Arabidopsis thaliana: one gene and its partners. The protein of the gene in region 1 interacts with the protein of each later gene in a pairwise test. Each region holds a gene or a part of one and is shown in the gene's direction. Other genes may lie near its edges.

What was found.
Region 2: the proteins of GIF2 (region 1) and GRF9 interact in binary tests that used the Arabidopsis thaliana proteins (3 or more experiments, as listed by UniProt).
Region 3: the proteins of GIF2 (region 1) and GRF5 interact in binary tests that used the Arabidopsis thaliana proteins (3 or more experiments, as listed by UniProt).

What each region holds. Positions count from the first base shown.
Region 1 is NC_003070.9:70,589-74,822, forward strand, and holds GIF2 (GRF1-interacting factor 2), read left to right. Parts: upstream 1-1,768; 5' UTR 1,769-1,994; coding exon 1,995-2,081; exon of another isoform or gene 2,082-2,326; coding exon 2,327-2,428; exon of another isoform or gene 2,429-2,498; coding exon 2,499-2,575; intron 2,576-2,698; coding exon 2,699-2,807; intron 2,808-2,899; coding exon 2,900-3,152; intron 3,153-3,233; coding exon 3,234-3,295; 3' UTR 3,296-3,508; downstream 3,509-4,234. Other genes in the region: AT1G01150 (Homeodomain-like protein with RING/FYVE/PHD-type zinc finger domain-containing protein), read right to left, coding at 252-380, 453-1,133, 1,354-1,410; AT1G01170 (ozone-responsive stress-like protein (DUF1138)), read right to left, coding at 3,517-3,662, 3,750-3,855. UniProt on the Arabidopsis thaliana protein: Transcription coactivator that plays a role in the regulation of cell expansion in leaf and cotyledons tissues.
Region 2 is NC_003071.7:18,743,360-18,748,230, forward strand, and holds GRF9 (growth-regulating factor 9), read left to right. Parts: upstream 1-1,980; 5' UTR 1,981-2,217; coding exon 2,218-2,443; intron 2,444-2,784; coding exon 2,785-3,255; intron 3,256-3,353; coding exon 3,354-3,539; coding exon of another isoform or gene 3,540-3,580; exon of another isoform or gene 3,581-3,631; coding exon 3,632-4,044; 3' UTR 4,045-4,275; downstream 4,276-4,871. Other genes in the region: FLA8 (FASCICLIN-like arabinogalactan protein 8), read right to left, coding at 1-700; AUR3 (ataurora3), read right to left, coding at 4,299-4,409, 4,505-4,577, 4,663-4,871. UniProt on the Arabidopsis thaliana protein: Transcription activator that plays a role in the regulation of cell expansion in leaf and cotyledons tissues.
Region 3 is NC_003074.8:4,606,125-4,611,093, forward strand, and holds GRF5 (growth-regulating factor 5), read left to right. Parts: upstream 1-1,951; 5' UTR 1,952-2,401; coding exon 2,402-2,600; intron 2,601-2,879; coding exon 2,880-3,411; intron 3,412-3,489; coding exon 3,490-3,944; intron 3,945-4,028; coding exon 4,029-4,036; 3' UTR 4,037-4,373; downstream 4,374-4,969. UniProt on the Arabidopsis thaliana protein: Transcription activator that plays a role in the regulation of cell expansion in leaf and cotyledons tissues.

The sequences.
Region 1 (4,234 bases):
AGACACGTTATCTTCTCTTAATATCAACATAAGGGATACAAAGCGAACATCATCTATAAGGACTACTGTTACCAAAAGATCTACACGGAGGAATCCGAAACTGCGATTACAAGGAAGGACTAACATCAAAGTCGTCACACTACTATACTGCCAATTCAAAAGGTCACTAGGATTTGTCTTAATGTTTTTGATATCAAATGCGTCATTTAATACTTCTAAGGATTTTATGGTGAAAGGAATCACATACGCACCATATTTCTCCATTTGTCCTTAAGATCGGAGGAATTACGAGTTGTGTGGAATATACCTTTTCCCATCTCCAAAATCTTCTTCCAAGGCATGTTTTTGTTGATTGTATCAGAAAATTTCTCCACTCCCTCCTATCCAAAATAAACATATACTATAAGTTTAAGCTAAAAGTGTATTTCAAGAAAAAAGTGTGGTGGTTTTACCCTCAACATCTTCTCTTCGTTGACTGTCCATAGTACCCTTTTTGGCTGATCATTAACAACAGCATAAGCTTCTCCGCAAGATTTCTCCATATCAATGAATTGATCTGTTGACTCGTCTAACTGGGAATTTCGAGCCTTAAGGTGCTTGACCAGTTCTTGTAATTGATGAAGGTTCTCATGTAGTTGCATTGGTAGTGAATTATCAGAACCATTCTCTAGTTGACTGTTTTCTCTCGTCATGACTATATCTCCACTCCTCAGCTCACTACATCCATATTGAACAAGGGTCTTCGCAGCTGCAACACCCCTTGTTCTCAAAGCCGTGGATCTAGTAGCTTGCTCCTTAAACCAACAATAGGGACAGTAAAAGGTTGCAGGATCTTCACAATCAAGCTCAACACACTTCCTGTGAACAGCGAGAGGGCATTCATTCCCAGAACAAGGTACTACACCATCGTCTGCAATATCGCATACAATACATGCGTGTTCGTTCAACGGCTCAAAGCTTCTGAAAGTGTCACTTGTCCCAAGGTAGTGGCGCTTCTTAAGAGGCACATTATCATAAGTGAAAATGTTTGGAGCAGAGTTGACGTCCTCATCACCACCATCATCACACTGAACAATACAATGAGCAATGCGCTTTTCTCTCACAAAGCCAATTTCTTCAACAATTTCACCTATCTAAGATAGAGAAGAAGATAAATCCAAGTAAGAGTGTTTACACAAAATTGAACTAAATCGACCAATTTAAGGTTATCTAAGACCAATTAAGACATAATTTGTTCTAATTACACAGTAAAAAATATCAAATTGTTCTCTAACGTATCACAAGCGACATCCGAGTAAAGACTAAAATTCGAGAAAAAATAAATTAAAGGTTTCTTCTAAAAGGGGTGCTTACATAAGGACTCTTGAGGAGAGCGATATCATCTTCATCAAGCGGGAGATCACTCACCATTTTTTTTCAGATTCCGAGTGAAGATTTGAGAAATTCGAAGGGTTTACGTGAGATTTCTTAACGAATAAGAAAAAGAAGCTACTGTATGTTACCGTTTGGTCTCTCTGTAAGTGTGTCTGAGGTTTCGAAATTTCGAATTTAGGCGAAGAAGGAAGAAACTGACTCAATGTAGTACTTTGCAATGTAACTTTCTCGATGGTCCATGGGCCTTAGAACCGTCTTAGGCCCAAATATGTCCTTTTTTCCCATTGGCCCAAATATATCCAAAACTTTCTAATTTGGTTAGAGGTTGCTCGTTGCTGTATTAATTAATGTTTTATGTTTTCGTTTAGAGTTTTGTAAAGACAAATTAGAGAGAGAGAGAGAGAGACAGAGGCATTTTTGGTCATAAAATCCACACAGAGGTGGTTCGACATCCAGGTGAATCCAAGTAATAAATTGCAGGATTCTCTCTCTATAATATATATAGATATAGCTTGCAATCATTTCCTGCGTTTGGATCGGTCTGGGTTTTGTCGAGGGTTTTTTGGGGAAGACGAAATTAGGGTTTAGTTGGGGCAAAGTAAGTAGTAAAGAAGAAGAAGATGCAGCAGCAGCAGTCTCCGCAAATGTTTCCGATGGTTCCGTCGATTCCCCCTGCTAACAACATCACTACCGAACAGATCCAAAAGGTTCCTTCTTTCTCACCCTATATCTCTCCCTCTCTCTTAATTTGTTCAACACTACTTAGGAGGCTCTTAGAGCTTTTTTGTACTGACAAAATCATTGGCTTCTGAGTGCAAGTAATACTCTTTTGACTGTAATTGGTGGCAATTAGGGTTTTCATTTGAATCTTTCTCGTTAATTCCACAACACTTGAGAGTCTGTTGTTGGTGATGATGAGAAGAGACAGTTTCTAGGACTAGGAAATTAGTAGATGCTTGGTGGGTCAGGAAACTTTGAATCCGGTTTTCAAGAATGGACATTGAAGTTAGATGCTTGCTTGATGTTGTTGTTTTGTACTTTCTCTTGGCTTGATGTCTTCCATGGTAAGATGATAGGCTGCATCGTCATTTCCTTGTCATTCTCTTTCCTTTGCTTAAACGCAGTACCTTGATGAGAACAAGAAGCTGATTATGGCCATCATGGAAAACCAGAATCTCGGTAAACTTGCTGAGTGCGCCCAGTAAGTCTCACCTTTTCTATCCATCTTCTTATGTCTCTTAGATAGTAATGGAAGCTTAGAATTACTATTATTAATGGTGAGGTTTATATAGTTATTCTATCTTTTGCTCTGTTATATTTTCAGGTACCAAGCTCTTCTCCAGAAGAACTTGATGTATCTTGCTGCAATTGCTGATGCTCAACCCCCACCACCTACGCCAGGACCTTCACCATCTACAGCTGTCGCTGCCCAGGTTGTTTGTGATGATAAAACTCAATTGCGATCTATCACAGAAATTTAATGTTGTTTGGGGGTTTGCTTACTGTTGGGTATGATTTCTGTTAGATGGCAACACCGCATTCTGGGATGCAACCACCTAGCTACTTCATGCAACACCCACAAGCATCCCCTGCAGGGATTTTCGCTCCAAGGGGTCCTTTACAGTTTGGTAGCCCACTCCAGTTTCAGGATCCGCAACAGCAGCAGCAGATACATCAGCAAGCTATGCAAGGACACATGGGGATTAGACCAATGGGTATGACCAACAACGGGATGCAGCATGCGATGCAACAACCAGAAACCGGTCTTGGAGGAAACGGTAACTCTCTTTACATTATTAAGACAATACTCAATCTCATAAATTGTAACTTGTATCCATTACTTCTTTCTTTGCTAACAGTGGGGCTTAGAGGAGGAAAGCAAGATGGAGCAGATGGACAAGGAAAAGATGATGGCAAGTGAAAAGGATCCAAAGAAGCTTTGTTTTGTTGATATTTAGGACTTGTGAGTCTCGTAAGGGCTTTTTGCAATAGCTTGTTTGAGTTTTTTAACAGAAGATAGACTGTGGAGTAGTTCCGCAAACCGTGTTGTAATGTATTGTTATTTAGTACAAGCTCGGATTTAGAAAACATCGTCATCGTTCATCTTATTCTGAAAATCAAAGCATTGAACTTATTATTTTCTCATTCCGGACGAGTCTTGACGATGAAATTCTGACGGCTAATGGGATTCATAACAACGGGAGGACCAGCGGTTCTTGGCCATGCTTGGAATTTCTCATCCGTTGCTGCCCACCATTCTTTGTTAGAGACAGTTCCTGGAGTAGTCCCTGAAATTTTCACAAGAAGATAACCATTAAGATCGTCCCTAACTTGAAAACACACACAAAACTAGATAAATCTTGAGCAGAACTTGCCTCCAAAGATCTTATTATCAGAGATAACTTTGTCGAAGATGTATGAGATTCCGAAAGAACCGATGAGAGCACCGATTATGTACTTGGCTTTACCTCCTGATGCCATTTTCTTCTAAAGCTGAAAGTGAACCATTATTACAACTTAACACTCAACTCACAAGAGGAGAAGCAACAAAGCTTATGTAAGGATTTAGTATTAAGGCCAAAAAAACACAGATCAAATTCAATTATTGAAGCTTTACTTATCAAGTTATCATATAACCAATGAAGACGGTAATTCAAAAGAAAAATAAAAGGGTTTGTAGAATAATTGATACGTTTACCTTTGCCGATTCAGAGACAGTGAAGCTTAAACAGTGGACTCCAGTTCCAGAAGAATTCAACGGTGGAAGACGGTCGTCCAACTCTATCGTCTTATCTCTTTAAAAACTTTGGATAAATCTCTGTGAAATTACCAAAATGGGCATTGTTTTCTGAAACGTTAA
Region 2 (4,871 bases), on another chromosome or scaffold:
TAAAAGCTTCATCGGACGGTGCAAAAACCGTCAAGCCTTTTTCAACGGCGGATTCGTAAGTCTTGAGTACTCCACTTGAGACAAGCAAATTAGCAAAGGTTTTGCAACCGGCTTTTTCGAGTAATCCGGTGATGTTTGACAAGGAGGCGGAAGGAGCAGGAGCGGTTAAAACTCCGGGAGCGATGATCGGAGCATCAATCTCGAGGATTGAGATGTTGTAAGGGATTTGTTTAACGGATTTGGTGTAAGATGAATCGAGTTTGGAACCTGAAGCGGCGGAGCCAAATCCGACTTTGCCTCCTTTAAGATCGGTGATGTTGACGAATCCTAGGTTTCCGGGAGCGTTTCCGGTGGTTTGGTAAAGTGTGGTGGAGAGAGTTGTGCCTTTGGAGATCTTGTGGAGTTTTTGTGGATCGTAGTAATCGAGGAGGACGAGGAGGCTTAAAGCGCTTTTAATAACGGAGAGTGGATGTTTTCCGGCGAGAGCAGACATTGCGCCATTGTTAAGGACGAGAACTGTAATCGTCGTGCGGCTGTTGATCTCGTCGGCGAGCTTCGTCTGAGAAAGGTAGCTGTTGAAGGAAGAGTAATCTGGAGAATCAGCGAGGATTTGAGTGATGTTGTGGCTACTCACGGTGGAAGCAAAGGCGAGGAGGGAGAAAGTGAAGGCGAGGAGTGAGAATGTCTGTGACGCCGCCATGATGAGACGGTTTTGAGTTTTTTCAAGTGTCAGTGTGGAGCAGAGGAAGTGGAGAAGACTGAGTGAGAAGAGAGATGAAGTTAAAAGAGAAGGATGATTGTTAACCACGGTTAAATTTTGATCATGGTTAGGTTAGAGTATTTGACTAGAGTTAATTTTGCCTTTATATTTTTGAAATGTGTGTTGTTTATAAGAAGTGAGTTGGGTTGGATTGGGGCCATGTGTTCTTTTTCGGACATAGCTGGAAGAAGAAAAGAGGCCATTCCATTTAATTGTCTTGTTGTTTATATTACACCAAAAAATTAGAGATTTGGGCTTCTTTTTACTCTTAGATATTTGTTTGGCCTAAATAAAACACTGGAGATTGTTTCTCGTTTTCTTCATCTAAATTGATCAATAGTGTCGAGTTTTATATGTGGTGGTCAGTGTATTCAGTAATGCTATCTATTTTGTTATCGAAAATGTTTTATATACCATAAATTGTTTGTGGATTGGTGTAGTGACCAATACAATATGTATCTTACTCAACAATGATTCAAACCTGACATTTCGTATAGTAGAAAACAATATATAAAGACCAATACATATAAATATAAAAGTATTGATATTATGTAATCATCTACAGTATAATATGTATGATTCAAATTCTATATATTTATTTCGGTTGCCGACGTTCATGTTCTACATATAAATAGAATTATCCACAATTCGGTGAGGACCAATATTGAATCACTGCTTCCCATTATAGGAATTTTTAGAGCTGTTAAAGCATTACTTTACACGTGTGGACAATATTTAAAAAACCACTAGTGAGTGAGTATATGATACAAGCATTACATGATCAAACTTTCCTTATATACTATAAATAAAAATAAAGTATTTTGCTCTGTTTTTATTTTCCTGCCTACTGAAAAATATAGATTTTAGAAATACAAAAATGTGACCAAGATGAAAAGGCATCAGGTGAAAGAGAAATGTTATAAGTAAAGGCCAATGAGAAGCAACAAATTTTGAATCATTAAAGCAAAAAAAAAAAAAAAAAGAAGAAGAGTAGAGCCCAACTTAATGGAGTAGTAGTAATGGGCCTTTTATGATAAGATGGGCCCATATAGAGGAATAAGAACGTGGAGATGTAATGATGTATAGTGGAGCAGCTGGACAGAGGAGTTAACAGTCTCTCTGTGGCATTGTTTAAAGAGGGAAACTCAACTTTTTTTATTGTCCGAAAAGTATTCAAATAAGGCTGAAAAACGCTGACGCATTTGTCAGAAACCTGACAACTGCCTTTAAATCTCTTCACACTCGCCTCTTCGTCTTTCCTCTGTTTTTCTTTTACTCTTTCTCTCTCTATTGAACAGTAGCGAGCAGAGCAAGAGATTTTAGTATCTGTTTGGTTTTGTTGTTAAAGCTTTTTCTTCTTGGGAGGTGGGTTTTTGCTTCTCTGTGTCGCTAGTTTCAAAAGCTGTCTCCTTTTTCTTGGAATTGAATAAAGCTTCCCCAAAAATCCAATTTTTGTTATGAAGATGCAGAGCCCTAAAATGGAGCAGGAGGAGGTTGAGGAGGAGAGGATGAGGAATAAGTGGCCGTGGATGAAGGCGGCGCAGTTAATGGAGTTTCGGATGCAAGCTTTGGTGTATAGATACATAGAGGCTGGTCTCCGTGTGCCTCATCATCTCGTGGTGCCTATTTGGAACAGTCTTGCTCTCTCTTCTTCCTCCAATTACAACTATCACTCTTCTTCTCGTAAGTAATTTGACATTCGAGTTTTCTTTTCAAGAAATTCTTAGGAGTATATGCGTGATAGTTGAGCTAGGGTAAGAAAAAGACACAATTTAGAAGATTTTAGACAACATAACGACAAGTCTTGGACCTCAGAATCTAGAGAAGTTTATGTTCTGATTCAACAGTTGTAAAGTTTGGGGTATTGTTGTGGAAATGCTTGATGGGTTTTATTGTGCTTATTTAACTTCCTGAACATGTTTTTGGCTTTTGGGTTCTGAGTTGGAGAAGTTAAAAGATTTACATACACAACAAACTTCTGTTGACTGAATTTGATTTTGTGCCTATTGGGGATTGAGTTGCAGTGTTGAGTAACAAGGGAGTAACCCATATCGACACGTTGGAAACTGAACCAACTAGGTGCAGGAGAACAGATGGGAAGAAATGGCGCTGTAGCAACACGGTCCTTCTATTCGAGAAGTACTGTGAACGGCACATGCATAGAGGTCGTAAACGTTCAAGAAAGCTTGTGGAATCTTCTTCTGAGGTTGCTTCATCATCAACCAAATACGACAACACTTATGGTTTGGATAGGTATAACGAGAGTCAGAGTCATCTTCATGGGACAATCTCGGGTTCTAGTAATGCGCAGGTAGTTACCATTGCTTCACTGCCTAGTGCCAGATCCTGTGAAAATGTCATTCGTCCGTCTTTAGTGATCTCTGAATTCACAAACAAAAGTGTGAGTCACGGCAGAAAGAACATGGAGATGAGTTATGATGACTTTATTAATGAAAAAGAGGCGAGTATGTGTGTTGGAGTTGTTCCTCTTCAAGGTATCATGATACCATCATACTCACAACAGAAAAATATCTATAGAATTCATTTCTTCATTGCTCCATGGATTGACCAGGTTCCATTATTTCATTACTAGGTGATGAGAGCAAACCTTCGGTTCAAAAGTTCTTCCCTGAGGTATCTGATAAATGCTTAGAAGCTGCAAAATTCTCAAGCAACAGGAAGAATGATATAATTGCAAGAAGCAGAGAATGGAAGAATATGAATGTTAATGGTGGTTTGTTTCATGGTATCCACTTTTCTCCAGACACTGTTCTTCAAGGTATTTTACCTTTGCAACCTTGGCTTATCGTCATTTCATAGGGATTTTCAGACATGACCTTCTGGGTCTTATATCTTGCTTCTTCGTTGTAGAACGTGGTTGTTTTCGTTTACAAGGAGTTGAAACAGACAATGAACCAGGAAGGTGCCGAAGAACAGATGGGAAGAAGTGGAGATGCAGCAAAGATGTTTTGTCTGGTCAGAAGTACTGCGATAAGCACATGCATAGAGGTATGAAGAAGAAGCATCCAGTTGATACTACTAACTCACATGAGAATGCCGGGTTTAGCCCGTTAACCGTGGAAACAGCTGTTAGATCGGTTGTGCCTTGCAAAGATGGAGATGACCAGAAGCATTCTGTTTCAGTCATGGGAATTACACTGCCCCGAGTTTCTGATGAGAAGAGCACTAGCAGTTGCAGTACCGACACTACCATTACTGACACAGCTTTAAGGGGTGAAGACGACGATGAGGAGTACTTGTCTTTGTTTTCACCAGGTGTTTAGAAACATAGAAATGTTGTCGAGGTTCAAATGATGTTTTTAGTTTCAATCTAAGGATCTTTCTGTGTTAGATGTTAGAAGAAGTCAAATCACAAAAAAATATCGAGACACGAATTTTAGCTAAGATTATATTGTGCTGAAATGAGATAATATATCACATGGAAAGTGCTTTTGCTAAACTTCTAAGACATTAGTCTCATAACATTAAATTACATATAAGCTACTTGTCCTGACTCCTGAGATTGGGAGAGAATACATCAAATATCAATTGAGGCACACACACCTTTCGGATCTGCGTTCTTGACAATCCATGGATGTTGCATGATCTTCTCAATAGAGAGTCGTTTGGAGGGATCCTTAACAAGAAGCTGCAAAAGATTTAAAACAACTATATGTTAATGCTTAATAACTAGTCAAGCAAGAGAGTCGTTGTGGGTATGCTTTAGCTTGGTTGGGTGTGTACCTGACTGATAAGATTTTTGGCTTCTTCTGAAACATTCGGTGTAAGAGGAAAACTCAGATCAATCTTAAGAATTCTGCATGACAGTGAATACAAAACGTCATCAGGAGCTGAGCTTCTGTAATTTTCTACAAAAGATAAAAAGTCTAGTCTTTTCTTACCTCTTGAATGTATCTTTTTGACTCTCGGCTTCGAATGGAGGGTTACCGTAGAGAAACTCGTAACACAGTATGCCTAAGGTCCAGTTATCAACTGCATAATCATGATCTCTATTTTCTACCATCTCAGGTGCTAAGTAATCCAAGGTTCCACACATTGTTTTCCTCTTGTTACTTGACTGAACTGACCATCCAAAGTCAGCAATTTTCAA
Region 3 (4,969 bases), on another chromosome or scaffold:
CTCCATTTTCTTCTTTTTTTGGTAAAAGTTTGAATTAACTCTTCATTTTCATTTTAATTAATTCGCTAAAAACATAATAAAAACAAGAAGAGAATAGATGATGATGATACAGATGAGTGACTAAAATGGAAATTTATGCACTAAAATGGAAATATCCCTTGGTCCAAAGGTCTTTCCACCTTCTTCTTCATAGCTTAATCACCATGATTATGATCATATATATCTTTGACCAACCAACAAGAGTGGAGCTCTAACTAATATGTGTAGGTACCATCTTACATATCTCCATATACGCATGCATATCATTTTCGAACCAATTTAGAAGGTGATGTATATAATCAAAAGTATTTAGGATGATGGTTTATCGCGTGAACACCATTTTGTTTAAGTACGTGGTCATCGCAAGGTAACCATCTTTATTTTCTTGGGTTGATCTTCACTAGCTATATATTAACCAATTACATATGTATTATTTTGTACTGAAGAAAGGATATAATTTGTAATCGCCAAATGATTGAATTAGTATTTGCTAATTACAAAAATTTGTAGAAATCGCGATAATTATCAACTTTTTTACTATATCCCATCATTCTACTATTACGCAATGTTATCAATTGTACTAGTTTGTTTCATCCACTATGTAAAATCATTCAAACCCTAAAGTCGATGCTCATCAGCTCATGTATATGTATGTATCATGTATATGTACATAAGATATAAAACCTTTATAGATGTGCATGTAAAAGAATGGTAGATAGTAGTAGTAGGTGTGTAAGGAGAAAGATCTAGGGGGCTTCAAAAAAAGGAGAGAAAAGGACAGAGCATGTGAAAAGAGACAGAGAAACAAACAGAGGAGTGAACAGTCTTACTCTTTTTTTTTTCTATGCACTTAATGAACCCAACCCTCTCTGTATATTTCTGATTCTTCACATGTCTTCCTCTTCTTTTTTATTCCGAAAACTTTTCTTCAGTAAAAACCAATGCCGAAAAAAATACATAATAAAAACGACAAAATATCTAACATTTTTTATATAAAAAGGACAAAAGTACTTTCACTTCACTTGCAACCAAACAAACCTAGTCCCCTTCTTTATCCAATGGTCTCTCCCCTGCTCTCTATTTCTCATCTAAACACCCTTTTCTTTCTTTCTTATTTACCATTTTGCCAACTTATGTAAAAGATGTTAAGAAGAAAATGTGAAAATTTAGTAAAAATCTCTCTTTTGTATTGTCGTCAGAAACTGTAAAATAATCTTACTCTTTTTCAAGTCAGCATATAAGTTTGGTTTCTTCTCCCGAGTCAGAGATTCGTGCAGTGATGATACAAGAAGCTTATTCCGAATTCTTTTCATAAATACTCGTATTTCCTTCTTCTTTTTTTTTTTCTTTTTTTTAACATCTATCTGTTCTTCTTGCATCTATCTGATTTTCCTCTGTCTTTTAGACAGTAATAACAGAGCTCACTAAATGTAATAAATAAAAAAATGAGCTCAATAAAAAGGTAAATGGCACTCATTTTTAGGCCATCAAGTGTTGGGATACAGCTGAAATTAAAAAGGCGTCAGCTCAAAGGAAAAAATAAATAAAAAAGATTCCCAAAAATCAATGCACTTTTATAGAAAAAAATACACATAATTTCAAAAAATACTTAAATTTTGAAAAATAAGATGAAGAAAGGATTGAGAAGAGAGGAAAGAGTAGTCAGAGAGACAGGAGCATCAAGTGCTGCAGAAGAAGCAACAGGAACACTGGGCCTGAGTCTCTTCAGATTTGCCAGTCTTTATAGGACCACACTCTTCTTCTTCATCCCCCTTACATACATTTTATCTATTTTTACATTTTACAATATTGGATATTTTAATGTTGTTTTGATTTTACACTACATGGCAAAACTCCTTAAAAGCTCTTGTCCTGATGTGATTCTTTTTTCTTTTCAACACTGTCTAAATATCTCTCTCTTCTTTGTGATCACTCTTTGATTTATTAACTTTCTGATTACCATTCCCCCCAAAATAAACCCTACTAGAGTGTGACTAATTGTATAGTAATCTCTATTGTGTAATAATCTTTTATCTTTCCTCAATACAAAAAAGTAGGGTATATATATAAAAGAGGGAGTGGCCTCGTGTAGAGAAAGAACCTAGCTAGTGTTCATGCAATTTGCATCTGAGGAATATATGCTTAGAAAGAGAGAGAGAGAGAGAGAGAGAGAGAGAGAGAGAGAGAGAGATATCAAACCAGAGGAAAAGAGTGACAGAGAAAGTGGTCATCTTTGTCTGTCTCTGTCCGAAACTCAGGAGCCCTAATCTCTGAATCCATCAAGAAAGCTCTTTCTCTTCCTTCTTTTATGCTTCTGAATTTGCTACATATATAAACTATCTGAAGAAAGCTAGAGAATAAGATGATGAGTCTAAGTGGAAGTAGCGGGAGAACAATAGGAAGGCCTCCATTTACACCAACACAATGGGAAGAACTGGAACATCAAGCCCTAATCTACAAGTACATGGTCTCTGGTGTTCCTGTCCCACCTGAGCTCATCTTCTCCATTAGAAGAAGCTTGGACACTTCCTTGGTCTCTAGACTCCTTCCTCACCAATCCCGTAAGCCCTATACCTATACTTAATTTTCTTTCTTTCATGTTTTCTTTTCTTGCATAAAGTTTCAATCTTTTGTTGATTCTCATGCCCCCAAAGTTTTCAGCTTTATGTGTTTTAGAGTGATTTGGTTTCTGGTTAAAGTCTCTAGCTTTTTTTTTCAACGACCACTTTTAAAAACTCAGTTTCCACAGTCTTACTTTTAATGATTTTGGAACTTAAGGTCCTAATTAGGGTTTTACATCATGATTAATTTTAGGGTTTCGTTTTAATTAAATGATGCAGTTGGATGGGGGTGTTACCAGATGGGATTTGGGAGAAAACCAGATCCAGAGCCAGGAAGATGCAGAAGAACAGATGGTAAGAAATGGAGATGCTCAAGAGAAGCTTACCCAGATTCGAAGTACTGTGAAAAACACATGCACAGAGGAAGAAACCGTGCCAGAAAATCTCTTGATCAGAATCAGACAACAACAACTCCTTTAACATCACCATCTCTCTCATTCACCAACAACAACAACCCAAGTCCCACCTTGTCTTCTTCTTCTTCCTCTAATTCCTCTTCTACTACTTATTCTGCTTCTTCTTCTTCAATGGATGCCTACAGTAACAGTAATAGGTTTGGGCTTGGTGGAAGTAGTAGTAACACTAGAGGTTATTTCAACAGCCATTCTCTTGATTATCCTTATCCTTCTACTTCACCCAAACAACAACAACAAACTCTTCATCATGCTTCCGCTTTGTCACTTCATCAAAATACTAATTCTACTTCTCAGTTCAATGTCTTAGCCTCTGCTACTGACCACAAAGACTTCAGGTTCTGTGATCTTATCTTTAGTTTCTCTTGTTGATCTTTTATGGAAACTTTTATTGATGGATTGTTTTTTGAATTCAGGTACTTTCAAGGGATTGGGGAGAGAGTTGGAGGAGTTGGGGAGAGAACGTTCTTTCCAGAAGCATCTAGAAGCTTTCAAGATTCTCCATACCATCATCACCAACAACCGTTAGCAACAGTGATGAATGATCCGTACCACCACTGTAGTACTGATCATAATAAGATTGATCATCATCACACATACTCATCCTCATCATCATCTCAACATCTTCATCATGATCATGATCATAGACAGCAACAGTGTTTTGTTTTGGGCGCCGACATGTTCAACAAACCTACAAGAAGTGTCCTTGCAAACTCATCAAGACAAGATCAAAATCAAGAAGAAGATGAGAAAGATTCATCAGAGTCGTCCAAGAAGTCTCTACATCACTTCTTTGGTGAGGACTGGGCACAGAACAAGAACAGTTCAGATTCTTGGCTTGACCTTTCTTCCCACTCAAGACTCGACACTGGTAATTAATTAATCTGCAGACGTAATCTTATGATCTATGCTAATTATTGATAGTTTCAAAATTAGTTTAAATTTATTTTCTCAGGTAGCTAATTAAGTAGAGCTGGCATCAATGATGGATCTGCACCAACACACACAACTGTGAAATGTTGAAGAAGAGTCACATTTCACATCTATTTCCGTGGAACAATGAGACAAGACACTGTTTGCAGAATCCTATATGTATTTTTTCTATCTTTTTCTATGTGTGTTAGGTCCAACAAGAAAAAGTGATCCGACAGATATATCTGTATGTGTTCTCTTGCTTTCTCAAGAAATCAGATTTTATTTTACTGTCGCTGATAGCAACAAAAGAAAACATGACTTGATTTGTGAGGGGTATCGTTATATATAATTTATTTGTTTCTTAGGATGCAAGCATCTATATAGTTTCACACATATAATCTAGATTTTTTCTAAGGCCATGTTCTGATTAACTTACTTTAAATGTAAAACATTCATGCAGAGGAATAATAGTAGACTAGGTTGCAAATTCTGTAGGGCAAAGGATACGATTATCCGCAATTAGTTAAAGTTTTATATGTAAACACAGACACAAATAATCAATTACTATCTAAATGGCTGTATGTTGAGATTATCCGCAGGTTATGAAATGACGTTACATAGGCCCAAGTCTTGAATCACGCATTTACGAAACGAGAGTATGGTCAAAACTCTACATAATATGGCAAAACATTAAACTTATTATTATAAGAAGAAGAACCATAAATTTTGTTGTCGTTTATAGAAAACAAACAATCATATACAACTTTTGGTGTATGCTTCCTTCCATGTATGTGCTCCTTTAGCAAAAGGAAAGATGGGAGAGTTAAAAGACAAAACGTCATGACTCTTGATCCATTAATCCTTTTACGTGCGTATGAGTACTTGGAATCATTGGTCATTACCAACATTAATCTTATATTTTTAATATAAATCTCATACGTATAAAATATGTATGCTGAGAATTTTTAAAAGCATGTTGCC